Tribolium castaneum: one gene and its partners. The protein of the gene in region 3 purifies or fractionates together with the protein of the main gene of each other region. This does not show direct contact. Links are inferred from orthologs where the notes say so. Each region holds a gene or a part of one and is shown on either strand. Other genes may lie near its edges.

Region 1 (3,943 bases), about 2.8 Mb from region 3:
TTGTCTCGGTATTTTAATAAAACCTGGCCGAAAAATTCAAACATTTATAATCTTCATACAATAATTATTATAAAACGAATTGCATAGACTGAGCGGAAACATTAAAATTTCCTTTTCGTAAAACATCATATTCTATTGTTATGTCTTTACTTTTTTCCAGATGATTATTTAAGTATTTTTCTGTCGCAAATTTACCATTTTTGCAGCCAATTATTACCTAATTTATCTGCATCTCACTTAAAGTGATTATGTTTTTGTTAATGACGATTTATCGATATTCTCCCACAATTTATTCACTTTATCACCGATCGTTGTCCCCAGCGGACGTCACTATTTGATAAAAATAAATGTTTGTTATTTTTTTAATCGGTAAGTTTGGGATCAATCCGTGATTTTACCACTTACCTGCGGACAACTCTCGTCCAAAACTTCAATAGTCTCCACATTTTGCGACAACCAGATCGCATTCCGACAGTCTGGATAACCCGTACACGAGATAAACTTCCCCGCGTTATTTTTTTTGTTCCTAATGGTCATATCATTCCCACATTTTGGACATTTCAAAACCGGCCTAACTTCCACATTCTCATAGTGTTCATCCTCAACGACCTGTGGCCGATCAGCCAGCCGATTAGCCAAGCATTCGTCAATTTGCCTCATTTTCTCAACCACAGTTTCAAAAACCGCCCGATATTTCTGAATTTGTTCTCTCCGCACAACTTCCGGGTCTTTCAAACCGTCGCAAATCAGCTTCAAGTCCTTCTCAAAATCGGCCCGTAGAATCGGCTTAGCCAGACTCACTTCTAGCCCGATATTATTGTAACCCTCAACCAGGCCCATGCCAAGGGTGCCCGGGACGAAATAAATATTTTCATGCAAGCCCACGTATTCCCGCGTTTTGATAGTGTCGATGTGCTCGGCGTGGGTGGCATCGGTCCCAATGCCGTGCTTTTCCATCAACGCGATCAAGTCGGCTTCGGTTAGTAACTTCGGGGGCGCAGTTGCGCCTTCGTAAAGCTCCAAAACTGAGGGGATGAAAGTGTCGCCTTGTTGGTAGCTGTGGATTTCTTTGGCGTTCCATTTTTCGTAGGTGTACACTTCGAGGTAGTTTTTTTCCAAGATTATTAGCCCTTTGGCTGTGAATTTTTCCCCAGCAATGTCCGCCGTGACCACGGTTTCGAAACCTTGAGCGTCCTTGTGGACGCAAGCTAGGAAATGGCGCACGATGTATTCGTAAACGCGTTGCTCATTTCCCGTTAAATTATCCGCGTGTTTTGTTGGGTGTATGGGAGGGTGGGCCTGGTCTGACTTTTTGCCCTGTCTGGGAGCGGGGCCCCCTTCGTTCATTATGCGGTGCGCGAAAGCGCCCCAACGTTGGTCGTTTTGTTGCAATGTTACCAAGTTCGCTAAGTTTAATTCCTTAGGGAAGATGTTTGTTTCGGTTCGGGGGTAACTGATCAACCCTTGAGTGTACAGTTTTTCGGCGATTTTCATCGTGTCTTTAGCCGTGATTTTGAGTTTTCGGGAGACGGTTTTCTCCATTTCGACGGTGTCTAGGGGCAAAGGGCGCCACTTGCTTTTGGGCTTGCCTTCGACCTTTTCGACGGTTGCGTTTGGAGATTCCTTACAAATGTCCAAAATTGCCTCGCAGGCGTTTTTGTCGAAGAGGCGGTCGCGTTTCCACGTGAATTCGGTCGTTATGTCGTTCACAGTGTGATTCACTGCGAAATAACCGTTTTTTTAATCATGAAAATTGGTATTTAAACTAACTTTTGATTTTCCAAAACGGTTCTGGGATGAAATCCTGAATGGCTTGGTACCTTTCTACCACAAACCCCAAAGTGGGGAACTGGCAAGAGCCGTAACTTATCAGTCTATCGGCGAGCTTTTGGGGGAAAACTCTCTGTAACCGCAGGGTTTGCAATCTGGTAAAAGCAGCTCCTGTTTAACCACGTTTCTTCAACAATAAATTACAACAAGCAAAGAACTGACCTGTCCTCAAGTCCAACTCTTGTCGTACATCAACCGCGTCACTTACGTTCTTGTTGGGTTGTCCTAGCGTATTTAGGGCCCTAAATATGGAAGCGGCCGTGATTTCGGAAAACTTGGCGCGATAAATCCTCAAATTGGGCTTAACGTCGCTACAAACCTTGATTATTTCAAACCCGATATTTTCCCCTTCGCGATCGCAATCGGTCCAGATTATCAGCCCCTGACACGACCTGATTTCCCGCTCTAAAGTGCGCTACAAGTAGGTTTAGTCTAAAAACTGGGGACACCACGTCTAACCTTAATTTTTTGGTAATCTTCCGGGCACATTTTAACAACCGGTGCGTCGAACAGTGCAACAGGATTGCACGACTTCCAGTTGCGAAAACTGGGCCCGAATTCGTAATTTAATAAATGGCCTGAAACCGAAGTCATGATCATGTGGGCCTGTTGGCCCATCACGGTCGCGTCGAATTCGTAGATTTTGTTGTAGGGCGAGAAGCCCTCACGCTGGAATTTTTCTCATTGTTAAAATGCTCAACCGAGTGACTACAAACCTTCTGTGAAGCCCCCCGGGACAGAATTGCAGCGATATTTTTGGCGGCATCGTTTTTCTCGGCCACGTTTAGGTATCTCATGATTGCTGGACGTGCCCCAGTGCTACAGAATCGTGCGCTTACATTTAGTAAAGAGGAAATTAGTAAACATCCCATTTAAAACACATTTTTTGCGGTTTTTAACCAAAACAAATTCGAATTTGGGATTTTTGACGGACAGATGACAGCAGCAGCCATGTTTGTGGCACACAAAGTCCCCAGATTGCTGGATGTGGCTAAGGTGCCAACGCGTTCGAGTTTTTAAATCGGAAAAATCGCGCGATATTTTATTCAGAACGTAAGGGCCGGTTAATTGTATTTTCGTAAGAAAAACTGATCGAACTAAAAATGGTTTATTGCAAGTTTATATTTGTCGACAAATTACAAAACTTATGAAAATATATACAGATTTGATCGTACCACTAGGTATATGTACAAAAGCCTAAGATTACGATTACGATATAGAACGGCCACCCACATTGTCAAATAGTCAAAAAACGTGAGATCAGTCTCAAAAAATTTGTATAAAACTACAAACAATCACTTACATGCTACGTACTGGCTGTATATTAACGTACATCAACATTGACTAGCAGAATCAATTTACAAAAAAGAAATAATCAACAAAAACGCTTATTTTATTCCTCCTCGTGTCATAAATAGGTCGTATAAGTCTCTGTGATCACGCACCGTTACACCATTGTCACATTCCGCCGCTTCTTGTCACCACTGTTCACCGACGAGAGCGACCCCTGAAGACTGGGGTTAAACGGGCCTAGGGCCTCATTGCGGGTCTGATACATGTGGTTATTGCCTTGGTGCACCCCATAAATGTTGTAATTGACGGGATAACCGTTCGAATTGAACGCCGGTAGCGGTGGGACGGGTGGCGGGATGTGGTGCTGGGTCGGGTAGTGCCCATTCAGACTCATATGGTCCTGGGACATATGGTCGGCTTGGGGGTTCATCAAGAGGTCCTGATGGGTGTTGACTTGATCGTCCATATTCTCCATGGGACTGTGACGGCGTTCGTGTTCGTGCAACAATTGAGACGCGCTCCATGAATTGTACGGACTCAAAGTGTGACCGTTTCGGTTTAACGTACTGTTTGAAATAACACTCAATCCTTGGTAACCTTGGTTCGGAGTCCCTAAATCCCGCTGTTGGTAGTGGACCATTTGTTGCTGTTTCAATTCTTCGATCAGTTGTTGCTCCTGTTGGTTGACCAAAGAGTAGCGTTTTTTCTGCTCTTCTTCGTACTCGTCCTTGATCGGGACGCCAATTTGGTGAGGATCGGGCAAGTCCGTAACGTAGTGTTGATTCTGAGGCACATTTTGCGGACTACTGGGTACTATAGT
Region 2 (4,215 bases), about 2.7 Mb from region 3:
GAAATTTGAGGATGAGCGAGGTCAAGTGCCCGATTTTCGGGCTAATATGGAGATCGGAGCGTTGGGGAAAATCGGGGTTTTTGGGGGTTTTGGGGCAAGGGCACTTACTTTAGGGCCGGAGACGGTGTCACTTGATCGACAGGGACATTTTGTAGCGTTTCATCATCACTTTTCGGCGCTTTGGTGCAAAGATTGGCGAAAAATTCGGGTTATATGACGATTTAAATGAAGGGAAGTTCATGATTCTACGATCAAATTTATACTGACAGCCATGATGAGATGAGCGCCGACTTTATGCCACGATATGGCTGTGATTGGTCGAAAAATTCACCAAAGGCGTGAAAGGGATGATTAATCAACGAAACTCCCAATTTCATAACATGACTCAAAACTCCCTCAAAAACCAAAATTTTAGCAACCACTAACTGCCTACATTCTCGCATTTGTGAACAAATTTACCATTTTTCAGCCAAATGAAAGAGTGATTTTTAAATCGCGGTTGAACCGCAGTATGAGCACGGCTTTCGCCTTGACTTATTTACTTCGAGTACTGGAAAAAAGAAAACACAAATTGTCAAAATGGCTGCGGGTTCATCAGTTAAAAAAAATCGCCAAAAAAATCCCAAAAATCGCACAAACAAAATACACCTGGTGTTCGACGAAAAGAAGCGTAGGTTCGTTGAATTTCGCCGTTTTTACGTGTAATGAATTGAGCACATGTCACTACATAACCTCACAGGGATTTTCTCACCGGTTTCCACAAACGCAAGCTCCAGCGCAAGAAAGAAGCCCGCGAGAAGCTCGAGCGCGACTTGAAGGAGGAGCGGAAGCGTCTCAAGTCAGAGGCGAAGGAGTCTTACAAAAAATTGGTTGTCTCCCATCGGCCAATCCCTGAATTGGAGACCCTTCTCAAAGAGGAGTATGAGGACGATGATGCCACTGTCAGAATTGAGGAGTTATCGACCGACGTGATCGCCAAAGAGAGTAACTGGATTGGGGCCAATCAGCCGATTTGTGAAGATGTTGAACAGGAAGAAAGTGAAGTCAGTGAAGTGCCTGGGATGGAATTGAAGAAGAAGGACAGTAAAGTGAATCGGAAGTTTGATTCAGAACGCGACGTGAAGCGATTACTCAAAAAGGAGGCCACCAAGAAAGTGCAGAAGAGCAAGGTTTTCCAGATGAAGACGAAAATCGAGGGGCAGAAGCAGAGGAAGAAGGCGAGGCGGGAGAACAAGCAGAAGATGAAATTGAAAGAGAAGAAGAGGAAACGGCACTGAATTGTTATTTTTGTATTAAAGAAATAAAGGATTTTTATTACTTGAGGTTATGTCATTGTGGCTAATTTCACACCAGTGGATACTAACACACCTCTTACACGTGCCCTAATAATTATTAAAAAAAATAACCCAATAAATATTCCCTTACTTTATTTAAATTTACAACAATCACTTTATTTCATACATTGGTTTCCGAATTATCACCCGATTTAAATCAGCACCTGTTGCCAACTTCACACGATTCAGTTCCATTGCGCGGGATTGCGCCAAAAGTCAAAAAATGTAGTCTGTTTTCGTGAATTAGACAATGTTTCGTGTAATTATTTCTAGTTTGTGATTTTTTATCTCCTTTATGTAAGTACTTTCGGCCCCCGTGACGTAAGTACCGTTACATTTTTTGTTAGGTTAAGTCATGTCACTACACGACGAAATCCCGGCTTTTTCCATTTGGGAGACCTTAAGCGCGACAATTCCGGCCCTAATGAGCATGAAACCGTCCGAAAAGAGCGCCGAACATTTGGCTAAAATAATCAAATCGGGGGATTTCACAACCATTTTCGTCTACAGCAGGGACCCCCTGAGCAGTCTTGACGACTACCGAAGGATCGCCGGGAAGTACAAGTCCTTCACGACGTGGTTTCTCGGCCGCTTTTTCTACCTTCTGAGTTGCGAAAAGTTGTGCAAAAGTCACAATGTTTACGTTGAGATCCAGTTGTGTGTCTTGGAACAGCTATCAAACACACAATTGAGCGTTTACGATGAGTTGGCACGGGACTATTGCGAAACCCTGAACAGTTTGTGCCATTTTGTCAAATCCGGGCACAGCACCTTAACTCTCAACGTTTTTGTCCCCGAGAAATACGCAGATTTGTGCCAGAAATTGAACCTCGAGCCGATCGCTATCGAAATCAATCAGAGAAACTTCCCCGATTTTTTCCTCAATTTGTTGAGGATTGTTAAATTTATTTTGGGCCAAAGCGTAGAGTCTGACTGTTACACAAGCGCCACGTACCGGAATTTGGACGATTTGTTGTTTTTTCTTTCCTATTCTTCAGTCGCCGTAAAAATCGAAATTCTAAAGATTTATCTCGATTTGGCCAAAAAATTCGACAAGAAGAACGATTTCGGTGACTTAATCCGGTTTAAAATGGAGCTGTTCGGGCGATATTTCGAACAGTTAGTTTATGAAATTTACAATTGTAAAATAGCCACAAGTACAAAAGAATTCCAATCGTTTGAACTCATCACGTTTGAGTTTTTCGGCCAGAATTTGGATACCCAAATTTTCGAAAAATTGAGCGAGTTTTTGCTCACCAAAACCGGCGAAATTGCGCCATCGGAGCCACTTTTGAATTTTTGTAAACGCAAGAGGTGTACCCCCTTGTTTGGAGAATACAATTATGAAAGTTTCGTCAAAACGGCCTTAGCTGATTTCAATACGTCGGTACTTTGTGGTTTTAAGTCATTTTTGTTGACCCAAGTTAGAAATATAAGACAGGAGGCTTGTAAAATCAAGTGTGTACATTCGGACAAATGGAAAATTTTTCGTGGCCAATTTATGCAACAAATTGAAGCCACCGATTGCACTAAAGACTGTAAAATACCCCAATTTTTGAAATTTCTGACCCACCTTGCAACAATCCTTACCGAAGTCGCAATCGAAATGAAAAACTCGAATTTGGAATTTTTTGAGGAGAAAATTTTCCTCATCAAAATCCTGGCACTCCTCAATCGCCATTTCGCCACGTGTGACAACAACGTGCCAATGCCCTCAATTTTCGACTGTTTTTTGAGTCTAGTCTTCGTTACCAGTCCCCCAAACGTTACTTTTTTCTTCGATATGTTTTCTTGTATTTTTGTGCAAAATCAACTCAGCTTTGGACACTTTCAAGGCACGAGCGATTTCCCACGATACAAAAAGGAAATGACCGAATTTTGCAAATACGTCACTCGTTACGCCCCAAAGGACGTCGCGTTTGAATACTTGAATGAATTTTTGGCGCGAATTTCGAGCGGTTTTTTCGAAATCGCCCAAATTTACGAAATTGAATCAAACTTTATGAAAATCACCAAACAAATGAATAACGTGGGGGTTGTCAGGCATTTAGCCCACATTTTGACAATCTTTCAAAACCCAGACCGGGTCATTTCGGAAATCCTCACACCGGCCCTTTCGTCATCAAACGAACGGGTTTTGGAAGAAGTGACCGAAGCCCTGCCTGACATTATTTGCGTCTCGTCGAGTGATTTTGTCAAACTGACACGAATCGAAGAGTGTCAAGTCAAAATTGACATTTTTTGTAAAAAATGTCATGACTTGACAAGTGACGGATTGAGTGTCACTTTTGCCAAAATTGACGTCGATTTGACAACTCTCCAAGGCGCCATTTTGAAAAACGTCCTCAAATTCCTCACTCTTGACAATGCGGGCCTCAAATCGAGAGCCTTGGAGGTGTTGCCGTTTTGCTCCAACCACATCCTCAAATTCCATTCGGGCAACGTTGCCAAAATTTGGGTCGAAAAAATCGGCGATTCTGACGAAAACGTGCGAAAAACGTTCGCGAAAGTGGTCCCAAAAATTATCAAGTGTGCGCAAGAGAATCAAGTTTTGAGCGACACTACTAAAAGTGAAACAATTGAAATACTCTTCAATTGTTTATTGAGGCTTTGCAAGAGGAGTCTCCAAACTAGCGATTTTACCTTGCAAGAGACACTCTTGTGTACAGTTGAGGAAATTTGCAACGTTAGATGCGAGAGAACTGTTTTACCAACAATTCGAATTTTGATTTATTTCATCATGGTGCCGACGTCCAAACATTCGCTAATCGCCGTAAATAAATTCTTCAAGTTGGCTGAGCTCCACGACACCACCCCCAGCCAACTTTACAAGCAAAACAAGCGCGAGATGTGCGAACTGATCGCACACTTGTGCATTGTG
Region 3 (2,970 bases):
TTTATTGTTTTAATTTTTTTTATTATTTTATTATTTTTTTTTATTAATTATTTTTAATTTTTGTTTTTAAATTAAAATGTTCCAACAAAAAAATTTTTCTTGAATCACACTCGCATACGCTCGTTGCATAACGACAGTCCTCGAACTTTAAGCTTGATTTTTCGCACTCGTATTGTTAATAACAATTGTTATTAATGCATTGTTTATATTTTTTGTAAAAAATATGTAAGACCTACCGGTGGCGCCGCATGGGGCGTCCAAGTAATCGATAATTTTCATGTCGTGCACCTTCATTACGGTCAGAAAGGCCGTTCCGGGGGCCACTGAAATGAAATTCCCGTAATAAATTCGCACAACACAAACGCCCAGTTCCTTCAGTCTTTCAATGACTTGTTTGACAAAACTCAACTCTACGTATCTCTCCATTGTTCTAGACGCGTTAATTAGAGCGACCGTCGGTATAGAGGGGTGAAGGCCTAAGAAAACTTGCGATTTTTTATCAATAATGTGTCTAAAGTTTGACTCAAAATCGGACAGAACTAAACTTTTGCGTTTTCGGGTGCCCGACCCATCGTGCGTGTAGTTCAAAGGAACGGTTATAATTTGATCAATTATTTGTTTATAACACTCGCAAACATCATTGTACAAGGCGCCGCTTTCCGCCAAGGCCCCCAGAATTTTAGCCAGGAGGATAAACCCGCACGAATATCGCTCCTTTTTAGCGCTCTTATCGTCATTAATTGGGAGTAGTTTAACTCGTGTCCGGCAGTCCGTGTTGGCCCGTTCGACCGCCAACCCAAAATTGAACAAATCAGCGTTTGCTTGCACTATCACACAAATCCCGCAATTGTCCCCTTCGTTCAGCTCCTTAATCGTGTGCAGAATTTGACGGGAGCTTGGCACCGTCTCCTCCCCTGCAAAACAGTAAGACAGGGCCAATAATTCGGTAAATTACCCAGAATGGCAGCCGTTAGCATCCCTTTGCCCACACAAACGGCGTGAATTAGGTCAGTCCCAGCGACACCGCCTGACAATAGTCGGACCTTTGACAAGTTCCTGTAATCCCTTTGGATCACGACATTGCCGTAGTCGAGCAAGACCACGTCGTGGTTGAGCGCAGTGAGCCCCAGAAGGGCGTCGCGCACCTTCACCGGCCCACTCCCCACATCAAGGGGGCTCTCCATTTAATTTTGAGATAACCTAAAATAACACAAAACAAACAGGAAAGTGGCGCCCTCTACATCAGTGGCCCCCGACTTGTGGGCCGGTTGTTTTGTAAAAAATATTTTTTTTTCGAAAATTTATTTTTGAATTTTGAACAATATGTAAAAATCCCTAGTTTTTGCCCGTGCAAATGGAAAGTCCCTACGAAGGTGTCAGGCAACTGTCAGAATTTCCCGCCACTCTTAACCGCAATTGTTGATTTTTATTAAAACGTGAAAATGTTTAGTGTTGATCAGTTTGATATCAGTAACAACGGCGGTTTCGTAAATGATGATAACCAAGGGTCCACTGCCAAGAAAAAACAGGTTTGTGGGGCGCTTTTTGTGCTTGTCTTTACTCCTCTGATTGCAGCAAGTGAGGCGCATGCAAAGTGTTGTCCCTTTGTTCATTTCGCATATCCTTGAGTGCACCGATGAGGAGTTCAATTTGTACGGGATGCCGGTCCATTTCGTAAGTTTTATCCCGTTTTTTTGTGTTTTTTGTATGAAAAATTCAGGCTGATGTCGTGGGGGTTTTGAAAGACTTTGAGGTCCAGACGACCAAAGCCACGTGCACCATTGAGGACCACAGTGCCTCCATTAAGGCCATTATGTGGCTGGAGACCGATAACGTAAGTAGATTTGTTCGTTTTCGTTTCGTTATTTTTGCCAGCAGGACACTGTGACGGCCCTTCCCCCCGTCAAGGAAAATTGCTACGTGCGTGTTTTCGGCTCAGTGCGCACCCAAGACGGTGAAAAAATGATCATGATTCTCAAAATCCTTCCAGTTGATGATTTAAACATCGTCACAAATCATCTCTTGGAGATTATTCAAGCTAAATTATACGCTGAAAGACTGGCCGATGGGAGGCTCCCAGCTGCTAATTTATCGACCACTGTGGCCACAACGTCCACGTCAGCTGCTGCAAATAATTCGTCGGGACTTAAGCCGATGCAAGTCAAAATTATCAATTTGTTGAAACCTATCAAAAGTAGGACTGGGTTGAGTAGGAGCGAAATTATGCAGCACTTTGGAGCACAAGCAAGGGAGGCTGAGTGCGTATTTATTTACAGGTGGGGTTTTGTTTGATGGTGTGTTCCAGAGTCGCTTTGGATTTCTTGCTGGATGAGGGGCATGTGTATACTACTGTTGACACCGATCATTACAAGGCCACAGATGCGGATTAAATTTGTTTCATTTTATTTTTTTGTACACCCTGGTTGCTTTACATTTTTCGTATACTTTAAATACATTTTCCTTTGCAAAAGCTCGTGTTTCTTTTACCTATTAATCCTCACACATCCTTATAAAGGTCTTAGAAAAGATTAAAACCACTAAAGTTGACTTTTTTTACGATGAGTTAAAAGTTGATGGATGAAAAAAATACCAACATGTGCGGTTGGGTTATTTTATGAACTCATTTTAGTTTCTGTACCTTTACGGACGATACAGAAACAAAAATAAAAGATAAATTAGAGAAATTTCTTTCAGTTGAGTTTAAAGTTCAGGCAACCAATTATACTCACATTGAGATAAATTGTTGCTAGGTGAAAAATAAAGAGTACGCGTGTTTTTTTTTTCATGTACAAGGTAGTGTGGATAAAACATTTTAGCGAAATCTTTAAGTATTCGTACCTTCTTTATTCCAAAAAATACACAATTACATCGTAGCCTTTGTTTAAGGAAAATTTAATAATGTAGGCACAATTTTTTTCGATTATTATTTGTGTAATAGAGCTAAAGTGTTTTTGTACTTTGTGGAAGCTA
Region 4 (4,201 bases), about 1.2 Mb from region 3:
TTTCCGTTTATTAGAAAAATTCATTGCTTAACTGACCTACACCTTATTAATGAAATGATTTTGTGCAACTTATTCTAAATAAAATTTCAGCGATATGTAAATAAAACAAACTTTAATAAAAAACATAAGCGTAACATTTGCTTCACTTCCCTTGTCGTTACAATTGCCCTCCGGTCCCCGACTTCCCCAAAACGATTTTATTATACGCCGAATTCATTTGCTCCAAGAAAATAAACGTGAGGACGGTGTGCGGCCCTAACCTGAAGTAGTACGGAGTGAAACCTTTCCACAAAGCGAACGGCCCTTCGTTCTTCACGACTTTGACTAAAACATCGAGGGCGCCCGAGTACTCCGGCTTACCATTGATTGTTTTCATGTTTTGAATCCTGAAATAGTAAAATCAGAGACGTGATTTTGAATCAATTTTCTACCTAGTTTTGGCAATATCGACTGGCATCGAGGCGGCCGTTGTGACCAACCCCGAAATCATAGAGGCACAGAAATGAAGGAAAATCCCGTCGTGGAAGAATCCCGTATTTAAGAGCATTTGCTTGGCTTGCGAGTACGTGGCCAACTGGGCCGCATTAACCACCATAGCGCGCCCCATTGTGGGGATTGCGCCCCTCCAAAGGGTCAAAACCCCTTCCTCCTTTGTTATCCTGAAGAGAGCGTCGAACACGTTCTTGTAGTTGCGCCTTTCGGCGGCTGGGAGACGTCCGTCTGCGGTCATCCGAATTAGGGACACTTCGGCTGGGGTTCCCACAAACGCGCCACACACGCCTGCCATCATCCCCAACCCCGCCTTCACAATGAAGCTTGGGGGCTTCCCCTCCTCGGAAAAAGTCTCGAAAAGCCACGAGTACACCCCCAGACGGGTCGTTGTGTAAGTCGCTTGGCGCAAAAGCCCAGCTGAGAGGCCCGTATACAGGGCAAAAACCCCCTCGTTGGAGATGATTTTCTGGAGGACTTGGAACGAAGTCGCCCGCTCTTTTTGTGTGGCCGCTAGTTGCATTCGATTTTTGAGCAGGTCTAAGGGCTGGACGAAAAGGGTGCCCGCCATGCTGAAATATTTGAATTTGGCGGAGTTGTATTACCAACCTTGGTGGGTAAGAAATGAGCGGATTAAGGATAAGATAAGAGGGAAATCGGATTAGTTAAGCGGAGCTTACCCAGCTGATCCCCCGAATAAGAATTTGATGTACTTGGGCATTGTTTTCTCTTTGTTGTCCCCCATTTCGAATTTGGACTTCACTGGTATTTAACGCGTCAAACTGTCACAAGAAAGTGACTCGATCGTTCGTATTTCATGTAAATCGTTTCGTTTATTTACGATTTGTGGCTGTGGAGGTTGCAAAGGTCATTTCGTACGAGAAAAGCACTTTTATGTCGATTTTATGGTGGGGCAATCGTGCCAACATAGGCAATTCATTATGCAGATTTGCTATGCGGGTTGCCGAAGTAGGTCAATCAAACTGTCAAATGAATCGCAACATTTTCAAAATTGGACGAAAATCACAACGTAAACAGCAGGTGAGCCCCATTGTCCCCCCTTTACGAACAGTACCCCACTTTTGGCCAATTTACTCGCACCTTTGTGGCGATACAATTCTGATAACCTCAAAAGGTAGGATGGCTAGCAACATCCCCGATTTGTTCTACTCCTGCGAGATCTGCGGCCTGGAGGGCTTGAGTGAAGACGAGTTCCGGACGCACACACGCACTGCCCACGTCGACGGCAATGCCGTGTGCCCCTTTTGCGAGTTATCGGCCGTCTCGCCCGCTGAACTCATCCTTCACGTCAACCAGGCCCACTTGGACTACCTCACCCCCGAATCCGAGTCCAACATGACCTTCATCGACGACGTCAGCCCCAGGTATGGCCCCCATTGCAGTCCCGCACCTACCACCAGCAGCGCTTTTTCCAGCGAGTACAACGGTATTAATGGGGAAAGTAGTGATAATTGGAACATTCCGTCTTTGCCCAGCCATAATAAAACCAACATTAACAACATCAACCTGTCCCCGAAAGTTAACGGGGGCGGCGAACTCAGTCCGAAAAATTCCACCCACGGTCAGGGCTCCCCCTTGCGATCCAGTCTCGCCTTGAAGTTGAAGAGTGCGGCCCCCAGAATGCAGTGCCCCATGTGCAATTATACGAGCAACAGTCCAAACGAGCTCGAGGAGCACGTCAACAGGTAATTTCGGAAAAGTTAACGGAAAAGGCCAAAATTATGTAATTTTCTCATTTTTTCTTTGCTTTTTTTGTCTGTTTTGGCGAATCTATTTGAGATGAGTGAGTTTTTAGTTGCATAGTAATTTCATTTTTGCACTTTTCAGTTTATTTGAGCAAAATTGTTCGAGAAAAGTTTGTTTTTTGAAAAAAAAACACAAAAAAAGTAAAAGATAACGCTTTTGTTTATACTATTTATTATTATTATTATTATTATTATTATTATTATCATTATTATCATTATTATTGTTGTTGTTATTTATTTTTTACGACTTTTCACACTTAACCTTGTTAGAATGATATAAAAGATGCTCATTTTTATATCTGCTCTATTATCACTTTTTTAATGTTTACACAACTATCAAATTCACACTGTATATTAAATCTGGTGAAACATCAAAATACCTAGTGTCAGTTTCGACGATTTTTCGAATCTTCACTGTAAATTTTTTGCTGTACAAAGGAAATTTCTCAAAATAAGTGAGTTTTTATTTAAAAATACACAATTTTTTTACTTGATTTAGTGATTTTTCGGCATGTTTGCACTAAATCACTCTAAACAGGTCAAAAAACGTCATTATCGATCTAATTAGTGAACTTTAATTTTGTAAAATCAGTGAGTTTCTCGCTCAAATTCCAGATAATTCTAACGAAAAAGGTCAAAATAATGTTATTTTAGATCTACGATATTTGTGACTTTTGAGGTTCAGGCAGGAATATTGCGAAAAAGTTAGGCGTAAAGTATTTAATTTTCTACTTTTATTAGAGATAATTTTTTCATGTATTTGAAGAATTTAAGCATTTAAAATGGCCTTCTTGGGAAATTTTGCAAAAATATTAGCGTGTTACTTAACAATACGAGTGTTTACCGAAACAGATCAAATTAAGATCGTTTTCGAATATCAAATGGAAATTTTTGCCGTATTAGGACATTTAATAAAATAGGTGAGTTTTTGTTACAGAATAATTATGTAATTAATGGTATTATGTTATTTCCGGGGCAGTTTTAGCGAAATCTTGCAAAATTACTGAAATTTTATGTCAAAAAATATCAAAAAAGACTCCGAAAAGGCGAAAGTTTTCTGTCTGATTTTGTAATTTTTTGGTATGCTTTTGATGAAATTTTGTGAAAGAATTGCTTTTATGGCTGAAAAACGAGTAAAAACGCTAAAATAAAATAAAAACAGTGCAATTATCTGCTTAATTTGGTGATTTTTTTGACATATTTTAGAGAAATCTTGCAAAATTACTAAGATATTAAGCTTGAATAGGCTAAAATAACTCAATTTCTTATCAAACTTTATCTTCTTTTGGGTTAATTTCCAAATTTCCTGATATTTTAGTTGAAAATGACACCATTTTTTGACTAATTTTGTGTTTTTTTCGGTTTGTTTTTTAAATTTTGTAAAATAATTGCGTTTCTACTTGAAAAAAAAAAAAAAATCGAACATACATGCTAGACAAAGTAAAAACAGTGGAATATCTACTTAATTTTGGATTTTTCGGCTTATTTTAGAGAAATTTAGTAAAATTACTAAGATATTAGGCTTAAAAATGTAAAAATAGTTAAATTTTTTATCAAATGTTGCCTTCTTCTGGGGTAATTTTAACAAAATTTTTAAATAAAATTGGCATATACATAATGTTATTTTCGATCTATATTTGTTGTTTTTTTTTTAACCTATTGTAGGCAAACGTAATCATATTCAAGTACATAATTTTCAACAATTTTTCGATATACCTATCATGGAATTATTCGAATTTATAATTAGAGTTAGCTTTTGTTTTTTTTTTTGTGAATGATAAACTAGTGCAATCTGAGGGAAAACTGTATTCTAATTAAATATTACCGTTCGAAATTTTATCATTCGACTTCCCAACTTGATTAATAAATTATGATAATCACCGTTTTGAATCAAGTTAAAAAAGTATGAAAACTTATTGTAATTATTAATTCAAATGATTACATGA

The links.
Region 1: the proteins of Rpa2 (region 3) and Top3alpha purify together in Homo sapiens (affinity purification with mass spectrometry; 4 studies listed by BioGRID and IntAct, with this or other methods). This does not show direct contact. The link is inferred for Tribolium castaneum from reciprocal best matches to the Homo sapiens genes RPA2 and TOP3A.
Region 2: the proteins of Rpa2 (region 3) and serine/threonine-protein kinase ATR purify together in Homo sapiens (affinity purification with western blotting; 3 studies listed by BioGRID, with this or other methods). This does not show direct contact. The link is inferred for Tribolium castaneum from reciprocal best matches to the Homo sapiens genes RPA2 and ATR.
Region 4: the proteins of Rpa2 (region 3) and zinc finger-containing ubiquitin peptidase 1 purify together in Homo sapiens (affinity purification with western blotting; 3 studies listed by BioGRID, with this or other methods). This does not show direct contact. The link is inferred for Tribolium castaneum from reciprocal best matches to the Homo sapiens genes RPA2 and ZUP1.

The regions. Positions count from the first base shown.
Region 1 is NC_087399.1:1,861,478-1,865,420, forward strand, and holds the start of Top3alpha (DNA topoisomerase 3-alpha), read right to left. Parts: upstream 2,802-3,943; 5' UTR 2,703-2,801; coding exon 2,547-2,702; intron 2,500-2,546; coding exon 2,290-2,499; intron 2,246-2,289; coding exon 1,993-2,245; intron 1,942-1,992; coding exon 1,771-1,941; intron 1,722-1,770; coding exon 406-1,721; intron 1-405. Other genes in the region: calcium-activated chloride channel regulator 4, read right to left, coding at 3,278-3,943. UniProt on the Homo sapiens protein: Releases the supercoiling and torsional tension of DNA introduced during the DNA replication and transcription by transiently cleaving and rejoining one strand of the DNA duplex.
Region 2 is NC_087399.1:7,319,185-7,323,399, reverse strand, and holds the start of serine/threonine-protein kinase ATR, read left to right. Parts: upstream 1-1,414; 5' UTR 1,415-1,689; coding exon 1,690-4,215. Other genes in the region: vito (nucleolar protein 12), read left to right, coding at 580-674, 740-1,277. UniProt on the Homo sapiens protein: Serine/threonine protein kinase which activates checkpoint signaling upon genotoxic stresses such as ionizing radiation (IR), ultraviolet light (UV), or DNA replication stalling, thereby acting as a DNA damage sensor.
Region 3 is NC_087399.1:4,631,346-4,634,315, forward strand, and holds Rpa2 (replication protein A2), read left to right. Parts: upstream 1-1,442; coding exon 1,443-1,529; intron 1,530-1,575; coding exon 1,576-1,674; intron 1,675-1,720; coding exon 1,721-1,834; intron 1,835-1,878; coding exon 1,879-2,258; intron 2,259-2,305; coding exon 2,306-2,390; 3' UTR 2,391-2,470; downstream 2,471-2,970. Other genes in the region: triokinase/FMN cyclase, read right to left, coding at 237-914, 956-1,184. UniProt on the Homo sapiens protein: As part of the heterotrimeric replication protein A complex (RPA/RP-A), binds and stabilizes single-stranded DNA intermediates that form during DNA replication or upon DNA stress.
Region 4 is NC_087399.1:5,853,362-5,857,562, forward strand, and holds the start of zinc finger-containing ubiquitin peptidase 1, read left to right. Parts: upstream 1-1,400; 5' UTR 1,401-1,530; intron 1,531-1,624; exon of another isoform or gene 1,625-1,628; 5' UTR 1,629-1,629; coding exon 1,630-1,874; intron 1,875-1,925; coding exon 1,926-2,195; intron 2,196-4,201. Other genes in the region: mitochondrial 2-oxoglutarate/malate carrier protein, read right to left, coding at 158-386, 432-1,061, 1,170-1,234. UniProt on the Homo sapiens protein: Deubiquitinase with endodeubiquitinase activity that specifically interacts with and cleaves 'Lys-63'-linked long polyubiquitin chains. Shows only weak activity against 'Lys-11' and 'Lys-48'-linked chains.